Canis lupus familiaris: one gene and its partners. The protein of the gene in region 2 interacts with the protein of the main gene of each other region in a pairwise test. Links are inferred from orthologs where the notes say so. Each region holds a gene or a part of one and is shown on either strand. Other genes may lie near its edges.

Region 1 (4,015 bases), about 52 Mb from region 2:
CTAGTTCAACACTCTCATTCAATAAGGAGTCCCCAGGGAAGACCAGAGCTGGCTACATGGTCTGACTAGCATTAAATCCCAGCCTCCTGATTCATCCAGTGCTCACAACACACCACCATACTTCCTGTTCTTAATGAAAACAGTACGGTCATTCGGTCTCTCCTCCATATAAACCAACAGACCATCTCCTGGAAACATCTGGGAAGAAATCTTAACTCATCAGAATTTTCAGGAACCACTGCTTCAGGTAGCACATTTTGGGTACATGGGCTCTATTTCCCAAGAATCCATACCCAAGAGACACAAAAAACAAAAGTTTGAAACATTATTAATTCCTTTCAGGAACAATTAAATATTCCTCCTTGGGAGGACATAATAATAAATATTAACTAAATTTAGCTTTCTAAGTTTCCAACACAATATTAAGTGCCTTTCATTTTTCCACTGAATCCTCACAACACAGACCTCCTTCCTCAGGATGGCTCTCCTAGAACCTCCTGCCCACAGTAAAGATGCTAGTGTCTGCAACTGCTTGCCTACTTGTCTTGACAGTCTTCAGACTAGAAGCTGAAAAGACAGGGATCTCAATGATCAGGTGTCTCATTCATTTCTTCTTCCAACAAATATTCCTGAGCATAAATGAGACAGAAATGGTCTTGGCGTACTGGGGCTTGCTTACAAAGTGACCCTCAACGTTGCTTCCATGGGGGTCCTTCCCCTTGAACATGTCCTTGCAGTGGAAGTCATGCTATGGTTTGTAAGGCTAGATAAAAATGCAATGCACTTCCACCTTGTTCTCTTGGAGCAGGCACTCTTAGAATCCAGTTGTCATGCTGTGAGGAAGCCCACACCTTGCCCATGAAAAAAAAAAAACCACATGGAGAAGCCACTTGCTCAGCTGAGGCCCCAGACATGGAACCAAGGGATCTACCTTCCCCACTGTGCCTTGTTTGAATTCCTGACCCTCAGAATCCTGAGCATAATAAAATGACTTCTTTACATCACTAAATTGGGGGGTGGTTTATTATGCAGCAATGGCAACTGAAACAACCACACATAGTTTACGTCTAACAAGGAATAAAGATACTAAATAGGTGACTCCAAGGTACTGCCTACACCTAACAGTAACTGGAACACAATACATTTTTTGTTGAGTGTCCAAGGTACTTATTATTATGCCCATTTTGCAGATGAGGAACTGAGCTTTGGGAGGTTTAGCAACTTGTCCTAAGTCTCTCAGCTGGTCAACAGCAGAATAAAGTCAAACTCAGATCTATACCCACACTCCTAACACCATATTCTGTCTCCCGTGGTACTTACAATTTTGTGCTAAGTATACAGTAATCTGTTTCAAACTGGGATTGTCAGTATTGAAAACATTCTGGCCCAGTAGAATCCACTGTGCAGTTTCATCACTGAGATGGAAACCCACATACCACCTTCTTTGACCTTCCTGGCTCATGTAATGCTAGGTCCCTCATTCTCCCTAGCTATTCCACTCCATCAGTTTCCTTTCCTTCATAGCACTTCTCTAGCTGAAATTTTCTTGCTTCCTAATTTGTTCTTGTTCATGTGTCCATGTATCTCTGACTTGAATACAAACTCTGTGAGAGCAGGAACCTTATCTGTCCTGTCCACTGTTTTATCCCTAGTGCCTAGGGCAGGGCCTGGAATATGACAGGGGACCAAAAATTAATTATTTACTGAAGGAGTGACTGCATTCAGGCACACTGAATGTCCTCCCAACTCATCACCTACCAATACATATGCAAACAGGGAGGATAAAGCAGAATTTAAAACAGCAGGACTGTATCAGAATCATTCTATCCAGTCAGGTCAGTACAAAAAATGGAAGGAAAGGGGAATCCATGCTACCACTCTTCCACTTAGAAAAGCATAAACCCCAAGTTCCAAAGAAGGTGTAGGTAAAGGGATGGAGAAGGGGGTCACACCTCCTATCCCCCATTCATAACCACTGTCCCCTCAGTCCCCAAAAAAGTTCAGTTTCTTCAGACACATTGTCTGAAGCACACCAAGGACAACTCGCTGGTGATCCTCTCTCTAACATCAGGCCCTCTATCCTTCCTGGCCTTTCTTTATATACCAGTCATGCCTTCCTGGAATGCAGGTCCTATTCTCCCCAAGGCACGGAGGGGGCAATGCCCAGCTCTTCGGAGAAGAGGTGAGAAGGGTGATGTAAGACCAGGGAGAGGATCTCTGCATATGCAGGTCCAGAGGCCCTATGCCGCCCAGCAGGGAAGGGGACTGACTGTTCCTAAGGACCTTCCTTCCCAGTGCTAAGCACCGATGCTGGACTCTTAGACATGCTTTCCCTGATTTAAGGGCCATTCTTTACTCCCAACCCAAGAATTTAGGGAGGCCTCAAGCACAACTTCCCCATCTCAACCTTCCCCGGACCCGCTACTTCCTAACCCCGAGAAATCCTCAAAATCCAGGAGCGGTTAAGGAGGAAGAAAGAAACCCGGCGTGGCCTCGGAGACAGAAGGGGCGCAGGGCCGTGTGAGCACAAGTCGGGGGTTGGGCGGGCCGGGCCCAGGGTGAGTAAAGGTTAAGACAGGAAGTTGGTCTGACCCTTTCCGAGCCCGATGTGTCCATCAGAAGAGGTGACGAGCAGCAGGAGACCCAAGCCCAGCGCACAGGTGGCCCCGAGGTGAGGCCGCAGCTCCATGGCGACAGTGCGCGGGGGCGCGTCCCCGCCAAGGCCCGCGCCTCCCCGAGCGCGGCTCAGCCGCACCCCTCGCGCCCCAGAGTTTCTAGCTCGGTGACCCTGAGGAAGTGATGTCTGACGGATGTGGGTGGGGCCTCCGGGGTCCGCGTGACACGGGTAAGTTTAAAGGTGCAGATCACGCAGCTCGGTGGGTGGGTGGGGGGGCTTTCCGGCGGCCGGGCGAGAGGGCGGGGGCGGCGGCGGGGACGGTCCGCGGGGAGCGCGGCTGGGGCGGCTGCCTGCGAGCGGCCCCGCCCCCAAGAACCGCGGCCCTGAACACTCATAACGCAGATCACTGATCGGTGGGGTCAGCCGCTCCGAACAGTGGGCGCGTTGCCCATTGGCCTCCCCTTTCCTGCTCCGCAAATAAAAAACGTTGACGACCGGATTTCATTCTTCAATTCCTGCCCGGGCCACGAGGAGACCTGGCAAACCTGTTCTGCAGCGCGTGGTCTCGTGCCTTGCAAGAATGCCCTCTTCTGCTGGAGAAGCAGCGCTGGACCTTATTTTTCCCCGCGGCCGCATCACTCACGGGTGATGCAACGAACTGGTGCAAGCTCCGGGAAAACCAAACTTCGGATTATTGCAAAACCGACCTAGCTCTTCATGGAACCAGGACAAAAGTCACTGCAGGCATTTAGAGCGTAAAGTTTCATCTAGTCAAACCTAATTGTTTTGTCGTGCTTCAACTTTGTGGGTTGACTATTTCTTCTCAATTGTTTTTTTTTTACACGACCAACAGGTCAAAATTTCCCGTCTCCTCCCTGAGTGGAGACTGGTTGAGTCTTCATACTAGTGAGTCCGCACTAGTTGAGTTCGACAGTGCGGAGTTAATGCTCAGTGAAAGCCCTGCGATAAAGTACACACCCAAACAAAAACGCACACTTCGCTACCAATCTGTAGGCACCCACACAATGGAATGGAAGGGGGACTGCAAGCTCCAGAATGCAGTGCGGCCACCTGCGCCTGCCGCGCTTCTAGTGGGAGGCGCAGAGCAGCCTGGGTTGTGTAGTCCCTGTCTGCGCTCCCCGAGATAGGCTGCCCCGGTGAGAGAGGGAGGCGGAGCCGGGCGTGTCACGTGGGCCCCGCTCCCGCCGTCGCTCCTGCCGTCGTCTTTCTCTGTCTCGACTGAGGCAGCCATCTTGCTCTTGCCGCGTGCTGTTGTTGGAGGACCTTCCCTGCTTCAGGTGAGACCCCCGGCGGTCCCGCCACTCCACGGCCATAGGCCGCTGCGCACGGTCTCCCCCCGCCCTCTTCTTCCGACACCCGCCAACCACTCCGGCTGCC
Region 2 (3,511 bases):
GCCAAATGAGCTGTTGGCCAACCTTAGCCCAACAGGTAATTCTGTGAAAACACTCGGTTTTCAATTATTGTCTAAACACACAGCTTACAGAGAAATCTTTCTCTGTAACCTACTCAGATTTTCCTTTCTACTAGAACTAAAGCTAATAGGACCCAGAAAGGACAAAAATCAGTTGCTTTCTGTTCCAGAACAGTGACAACATGCAGTTTATAAAGGTTAAATGAACCGAGCAACCCCCCCGCCCCTTGCCACACACAGGCCCAATAGAGAAGTTGAATTATATACACTACAATGAATTCTCAGGCACATGGAAATTCAGATGAGTAAATATATCAACAGCCTCTCTATGGGCCTTTCAGATGAAGTAATAATAAGTGTGAACAATAGATCCTACTTTGGGAAGGTTCATGGGTGTCCTCAGTCGGGTCCGGACACTCTTCATTAATATACGCTGCTCCGTTGGCAGCAAATGATACTTCATAGCTTCAATGAGGTAATCTTTGCAAGCACTGCTGTTCTTGACCAATGCTTCCTCTTCAACCCTCTGCAGGGAGAAATAAGACATACCCCATGACAGGGACAACTATTTCATGATAAAACTGGCAAAGAAACAGAAGTAAAGAAGAGGGGAAAAACAAAACAAAAATCATCCGGTCTGGCTCAGTCGTTTTCCTTACAAAGGAAAGCTTATAAATATCACTAAAAGAAAAATAAATGAAGCCAAAAAAAAAAAAAAAGCTCAAATATCTGGTCTGCAAAGAAAAATATATGTAAGTAATCAAGAGAAGAGCTGCAATCAAAATTATATACCTTAACATCAGCAATAGAATAATCTTTAGATAATACTATATTCACCTATTTCTCTCTCTCTCTCTCTCTCTCTCTCTCTCTCTTTCTGGTATATTCACCTATTTCTTATCTTAAAATATCAAGCCAAAGAGTAAGAAAAAAAATTTAGATAATGAGTCCTTCAGGTGGAATAGGCAATACTAATAAATTAAAGTCACTTTTCAAACGCAAAAAGGCAAATAAAATATCCAGGAGAGGGATTCAAAGTACTTTATAACATGCCTACACCACAAATAAATCTTGTCCCTGCTATTCCCGACCTCAAATGCAGGACAGGTTTTTTTGTTCATTTTCTTAACAGCGGAGTGCCAATGATTATGCAGATCACAACAAATAATGAGGCTTCAAGAAATCCTAAAATGCTCAGATTGAATCTCTTAATAAAGAACGTTTCCTTGGGATGCCTGGGTGGCTCAGTGGTTGAGCATCTGCCTTCGGCTCAGGTCATGGTGCTGGGGTCCCGGGATCGAGTCCTGCGTTGAGCTCCCCGCAGGGAGCCTACTTCTCCCTCTGCCTGTGTCTCTGCCTCTCTCAATAGATAAAATCTTTATTTTTTTTATTTTTTTTCTTTTAGATAAAATCTTTAAAAATAAAATGTTTCCTTAAATAGTTTCAATTATAAGAATGTTGAAATGTTCCTGGCAGGATGCTAATAATAAAAAAATAAATTCAAAATTGTTCACAGACTGCTAAAATCCATTTATTTCTACTTACTTCAAATAACCTGGTTTCCCTCAGATTAGAAATAAAGACAGAAACCAAATGCATGTAACAGTAAAACTATGAAGTAGAATTAAATAGTATTTGGGTCAAATGTCAAAATTCCATTTCTGCAGGGCAATCAGAAGACGCTATCAACAGGAAAGCAAAGATGATGCAGAGCAGGGACACAGAGTCACAGGTGCATTTATTTATGTGTAAGTGACCATAAGTACTGCCTACAGAAGCTCTAGAATTTGCTTGCCCACATCAAACATAGGGGGAAGCAAATTTCTAAGAAAGAGGAGTGGCCAAAGAAGGAGCAGCTGCCAAGGACCACAGGTGCCTCTAAGGTCCTCCGTCCCGTGCCCTGGGCATCTCATTCCGTAGGTCTCACCACTGTCATGCTGTCAGCCCAGTGACAAAGTGCTACGGGATTCACAGGTTTTGCATATGCTTTTACCTGAACTAAATATTCCCGAGGAAGCAAAGGTAACCGCACGTGTTCCATCAGCCGAGCCATAAATTCTTGCCTTACATCCTTGTCATGGTTTACCCAAGCTATTACTGCTTCAAATACCTTGCAGAAAATATGGGGAAAAGAAAAATAAGTAATGAGTTATGTACCAAGGCATCTGAATGAAGGATGATGAGATTACATTTTCTACACAATTCTTGCTAAGACATCCAAGTTTAATACACGGCTCAAGTTTTCCAAAATCCTGACCCATGCTGTACTTAAAAAGCTATTCAGTCCATTTCTTTCTTTTAATTTGGTATTTAGTAAAGTATTTTTTTTCCCAGCTTGGCTGAAATATAATTGACAGATAACACTGTGTAAGTTTAAGGTGCTCATTTGATATATTTATATATTGCAAAATGATGACCATCATAGCTTTAGCTAATACCTTCGTCACGTCACATAATTACCGCTTCTTTTCCGTGGTAAGAATATTTAAGATCTACTCTCTTAGCCACTTTCACGTATATAATACAGTTTTGTTAAATATAATCACCGTACTGTACATTCCCCAGAACTTACTCTTTAGAAGTCTGTAGCCTTTCACCAACATCTCCCCTCTTCTTCCATCCTGAACCCCATGTAACCACCACTGTACTCTGTTTCTAGGAGTTCAGTTTAGATTCCACATATAAGTGATCTCATACAGCCCTGGTCTTTCCCGGACTTATTTCACTTAGCATAATGCCTTCAAGGCACACCTATGTTGTCACAAATGGCAGTTATTTTCTCTTTTTTCATGGTTGAATAATATTCCTGTGTATATATGTGTGTGTATCGTATTTCTGTTATCCATTCATCCACTGATGGGACACTAGGTTGCTTCTAAATCGTGGCTATTCACAATAGCCACGATTTAGAAATCTTGATTTAGAAATCAAAGATTTAGAAATCTTTGAATTGGTTTATTGTGAATGCTGCAGTAAACCAATGCACATGGGAGCGCAGACGTCTCTTCAAGAATATATCCAGAAGTGGAACTGCTGGATCATATGGTAGTTCTATTTTTAATTTAGCAAGTACCTTCAGCACTTTTATGTATTAAGTATTCTTCATTTGGTATTTTACTAAGCATTTCACCAAATATATTATCTAATCTCCTTGAATTTAAGTGGTAGCTGTGATAATCTGACAATACATGATCTAATTCACTGTTGATAACCTTCCTAAGGTGGTTCTGCTTACCAAGATTTAAATCTCAAGTCTCTTTGGAATAAAGGGCCCAAAATAATAAAGCAAAGTGATACTGTTGAATGAATATCACATACCCTCATAAACAACTATTTTAGGCTTTTTCTTTAGGTTTAAAAAGAAATGTTAGCCATACACTTCTAAGTTAAGTGTCTGCAGAAAAAATTAGTTAATTACTTAATTGTCTGCAGAATAGATGAACTCTCTTTTCTCACAATGAAATATATTAAATCTACTATTTTTGAATAGTAG
Region 3 (4,033 bases), on a different chromosome or scaffold from region 2:
GAATGTACAGGACTGGGTGGGGGGAGTTCAGGGGGTTGTGGGACCCTAGAGGGGGCGCTTGACCTAGCGGGGGGAGCAGGGAAGGCATCCTGGAGGAGGTGATGGTGCGGCTAATACTAAAAGGTCTCCTCTCCCAGTAGAACAGTTGCTTTCCTGTATCACTGAGGAATAAAGTAGCCTTGACCGGTCTAACAATAACTCCCAAGCTGACCTGTGATCTAAGCCTTCCTTCTGTGTCTGATGGGCAAAGCCCAACAGTGACCCCTGTTCTGGCCAGTGTCCAGGGCTAGCTACTCCCTATAACCGGTGACATATCCCCCCCTCCCCAGGGGATTTTGTCCTAGTCAGACCTGGCTGGTGAGAAGCCTGAGCCGTCAGATCTGTGAGCCCCCTCCTCATCTGACCTATCTGACCTGTGACCCTTCCTTCTGACCCTTGGCTCTGCTCCTCCCCACGCCCCTCAGGTGCCCTAGCCTGCTCCCCTCCCCCACTCACCTGCTCCCTCCAGCCTGAGTCTCCTCCCCTCCCCCCCAAGGTTGGGAGGGTGTGAAGGGGAGAGGAAGGGAGGAAGGGGGGTGGCATTCCTGGGATTCCCTGGATGAGGGTAAGAGAGGGAGGGCTCTAGGGAGGAGAGTCTAGGAAAGAGCACCCCACCGCGCTCCCCACCCCCCACCCTCATCACAGAGTCCAAGGCTGAACTGAGGTTTGAAGACCATTAAATTTAAGAGATTGGAATGATGGGTTCCAGGCCACTGGGCAGACAGGAAAGCAGTCGAGAGCACTGGCTACAGGGGAGGGCCTCACAAGGCATACTGGGAGAAGCTGTTCCAGGCCACCGATCAAGCTGGCCACCACTGGTTGTACTGGGAGAGGACAGTGCAAGCCACTGGTCATGCCGAGAACCACCGGTTACACTGGGAGAGGCCAGTGCGTGCCCTAAGGGTCCCCGGGCAGAATGAGGGGGAGAGGGTCCAGGGCGGAGTGCTGAGGTCCCAGCTCAGGACACTGGTCAGACTGGTCGGTCAGGCCACCCCCGCGGGCACCGGGCAGCCCGCTCGGGGGCAGAGGGAGCCCCGCTCCGGGCCGTGCGCTGGGAGGTCCACTCCGGGCAGTGGGAGGTCCTGGCGGGGCGCCCGGGTTTGGGGGGAGGCGGGGGGCCGGAGGGCGGGGCGGGGCGGGGCGGGGCTGCCAGGGGCGGGGCCTGGTCGCTCCCAGCCCCGGGGCCGCCGAGCTGCAGCCCGGGCAGTCGCCGCCGCCGCCGCGAACATGGAGCCCCGGGACGGCCGGGCCCGGGCGCGCAGGGCCCCGCGGCTCCTGGTGCTCGCGCTCCTGCTGGGGGCGCACCCAGGTATGGCCCGGGCAGGGGGCAGGGCGCTGGGGGGGGCGCTGGGGACCCCGGGAAAGGAACGGGGAAGGGGCTTCCATGGACCCCAGGAGGCCAAACCCGGGGACCCCGAGGGAGAGGGAGACGGGGGCGTGGGGGACACCCCTCCCGATGCGGGGCCTGGGGACAGCCAGACAAGGGGCTGGGCATCCCACAGCGGTGGATTAGACAGCACCTGGGAATCAGCCCCCTCCGCCCTCGGCCCCCGGAATCTGGGTCCCGGGGCTCCTGCTCCCTCAGACCCGGGGGTCCAGGCCTCCAGTGGCTTCCCCCAAGACACAGGAGACGCAAACCCCCAGGTTTCCCCCCAAAGGTTCCCGAGCTCTGCAAGGGTCAGGGACCCTGTGGCTAGAACCGAGCGAGTCACATGCTTTGGAGGGTTCCCCCAACCTGGTTTCTGAGCCCAGGCTCTAAAGAACCCAGCTCCCTAGGCAGCGGCCGTGGGGAAAGTGTTTCCGAGGGCCAGTGCCAGGGCCGCCTGCCTGGGGCCCCAGACAAATCCACACACCTGTGTGGCGGCGGAGGGGAGGAGGCCCAGGGGCTGGCAACGGAGGGCAGAGATCTCTCCATCTGTCCTCCTGTCGTTGCTCAGACGAACCCCAGGCACCAGTCTGGCCCCACACCCCCTCTCCTGGGACCCGCCTGGGCCAGAGGTGGGTGCCTGGGAATCCAGGCCCCCGGCACAAGCATGGCAAATAGTGGGTCCCCAGGGGCAGGGCTGGGTCAAGCTGGGCGGGGAAGGGAAGGGAAGGGAGGTTCTAAGAAGTGAGCGCTGATGCCAGGATGCCAGCCCAGAGGGTGAGAGAGCATGGTTTCCCCTATTGGAACAGCTGTATCTGCCAGGATCCTAGGATGGGAGTCCAGGCCCCCTCAGCTCTCTTATGCCTCCGGACCCAGAATCCTGGGCCTCGCCCCTCTTCTACTCCGAGGGAATGCACCTCACCCGCTTCCTTGCTCCATCAAAGAGGCTGAGGGGCCAGGGGGCGGGTAGGGGGCTCTGGCGCCAGGCCGGGCAGGTCTGGGCCAGCCTGTCCCTCCCACATTCCTGAAACCTGCCCAGCCCTGTCCCCCCTGACCGCCCCCACACACCCATCCTACCTCAGCTGCAGGCCCAGCCCCAGCCCCCTGACTCGTGACGAGGGACCCAGGGGCTGAGAGAGATGGAGGCAGTGCCAGGCTGCTGGAGAGGCAGGGACTGTGGACCAGAGATGGAAACCCAGAGTGAGAGACACACAGGCAGAGATGGAGAGACAGCTGTCTCTGGCCCTGTGCCAGGCCCTGCGCAGGGTGCTGGAGGCCAAGGGATGAGCCAGTACTGGCACTGCCCTGGAGGGGCGGCTGGCCTGGTGGGAAGAACAAGGACAGGTGCAGTTTTACCCCCCAGGAGGATTGGACAGAGGGCCCTGTGTGGCCCAGGGGGGGGGAGGAGCCCTTAGTTCTGTGAAGAGAGAGATGGAGAGAAATGCTGATGGGTTTGTAAGCTCAGAGATGCAGACAGGAGAAATGGAGGGAGGAGGTGCTGGGGGTCTGGACCCCTGGGTCTGAGGGAGGAGGGGCTGGGGGCCCGGACTCCTGGGTCTGAGGGAGGAGGGGCTGGGGGTCTGGACCCCTGGGTCTGAGAGAGGATGGGGCTGGGGGTCTGGACCCCTGGGTCTGAGGGAGGAGGGGCTGGGGGTCTGGACCCCTGGGTCTGAGGGAGGAGGGGCTGGGGGCCCGGACTCCTGGGTCTGAGGGAGGAGGGGCTGGGGGTCTGGACCCCTGGGTCTGAGAGAGGATGGGGCTGGGGGTCTGGACCCCTGGGTCTGAGGGAGGAGGGGCTGGGGGTCTGGACCCCTGGGTGTGGGGGAGGAGGGGCTCAGAGGCAGAGAGAGCTCAATGGCTCTCCTGCAGGTGCCCAAGCTGAGGTGCGCTTGTCTGTGCCCTCCCTGGTGGAGGTGATGAAGGGGGAGCCCGTCGCCCTGAACTGCACCCCCTTGGGGACCCACGACCATTTTGTGCTGGAATGGTTCCTGGTGAGTGCCTCAGGCTGGGGGCCAGAGGATGGCCAGGGAGCTGGGAGTCAGGGTGCCGCAGGGGCTGCAAATATTCATTCCCTCATCAGCGCCCCAAAGGACCAAAGAGCTGCATCCCACTGCCTTTCCCTTGTACAGGTGGGGGAGTTGAGGCCCAGCCAGAGGGAAGGACTCTCCAAGGTCCCCGGGTATCTGAGCACAGCTGAGACTGGAAGGAGGAGGCCCCCTTCGGAGAGAGAACGTTCAGAGATAGACATAGCCAGGAGATAAGAGACCAAGGGACAGGGTGCATGAGGAGGAGAGACGGGAGCAGAGCAGGGTGGAGAATGAGGGACCCTTAGGGAGAGGAAACCCCTGCCACACAGACCAGAGGGAGGTGACAATCAGAGAGGTGGTGGTCAGGGGAGGGGCACAAAGGGACAGCGGTGGGCAGGCCAGGCAGCCCGGAGCTGAGGCCCTCCCCGCCCACAGGCAGACCGCTCTGGGGTCCGCCACCGCCTGGCCTCGGCCGAGCTGCAGGGCTCCGAGCTGCAGGGTCGGGTGCTCGACTCCCGGGGCCGCAGCCCCCCGTACCAGCTGGACTCGCGCGGCCGCCTGGTGCTGACGGAGGCGCAGGTGGGTGATGAGCAGAACTACG

The links.
Region 1: the proteins of KLHL2 (region 2) and TXNDC12 interact in binary tests that used the Homo sapiens proteins (3 or more experiments, as listed by UniProt). The two-hybrid records come from large-scale screens. The link is inferred for Canis lupus familiaris from reciprocal best matches to the Homo sapiens genes KLHL2 and TXNDC12.
Region 3: the proteins of KLHL2 (region 2) and BCAM interact in binary tests that used the Homo sapiens proteins (3 or more experiments, as listed by UniProt). The two-hybrid records come from large-scale screens. The link is inferred for Canis lupus familiaris from reciprocal best matches to the Homo sapiens genes KLHL2 and BCAM.

What each region holds. Positions count from the first base shown.
Region 1 is NC_049236.1:9,303,107-9,307,121, reverse strand, and holds the start of TXNDC12 (thioredoxin domain-containing protein 12), read right to left. Parts: upstream 2,807-4,015; 5' UTR 2,690-2,806; coding exon 2,593-2,689; intron 1,256-2,592; exon of another isoform or gene 809-1,255; intron 1-808. UniProt on the Homo sapiens protein: Protein-disulfide reductase of the endoplasmic reticulum that promotes disulfide bond formation in client proteins through its thiol-disulfide oxidase activity.
Region 2 is NC_049236.1:61,749,372-61,752,882, reverse strand, and holds part of KLHL2 (kelch-like protein 2), read right to left. Parts: intron 2,353-3,511; exon of another isoform or gene 2,129-2,352; coding exon 2,012-2,128; exon of another isoform or gene 1,686-2,011; intron 1,534-1,685; exon of another isoform or gene 551-1,533; intron 545-550; coding exon 395-544; intron 1-394. UniProt on the Homo sapiens protein: Substrate-specific adapter of a BCR (BTB-CUL3-RBX1) E3 ubiquitin ligase complex that mediates the ubiquitination of target proteins, such as NPTXR, WNK1, WNK3 and WNK4, leading most often to their proteasomal degradation.
Region 3 is NC_049222.1:111,291,565-111,295,597, reverse strand, and holds the start of BCAM (basal cell adhesion molecule), read left to right. Parts: upstream 1-1,227; 5' UTR 1,228-1,266; coding exon 1,267-1,348; intron 1,349-3,274; coding exon 3,275-3,396; intron 3,397-3,867; coding exon 3,868-4,033. UniProt on the Homo sapiens protein: Transmembrane glycoprotein that functions as both a receptor and an adhesion molecule playing a crucial role in cell adhesion, motility, migration and invasion.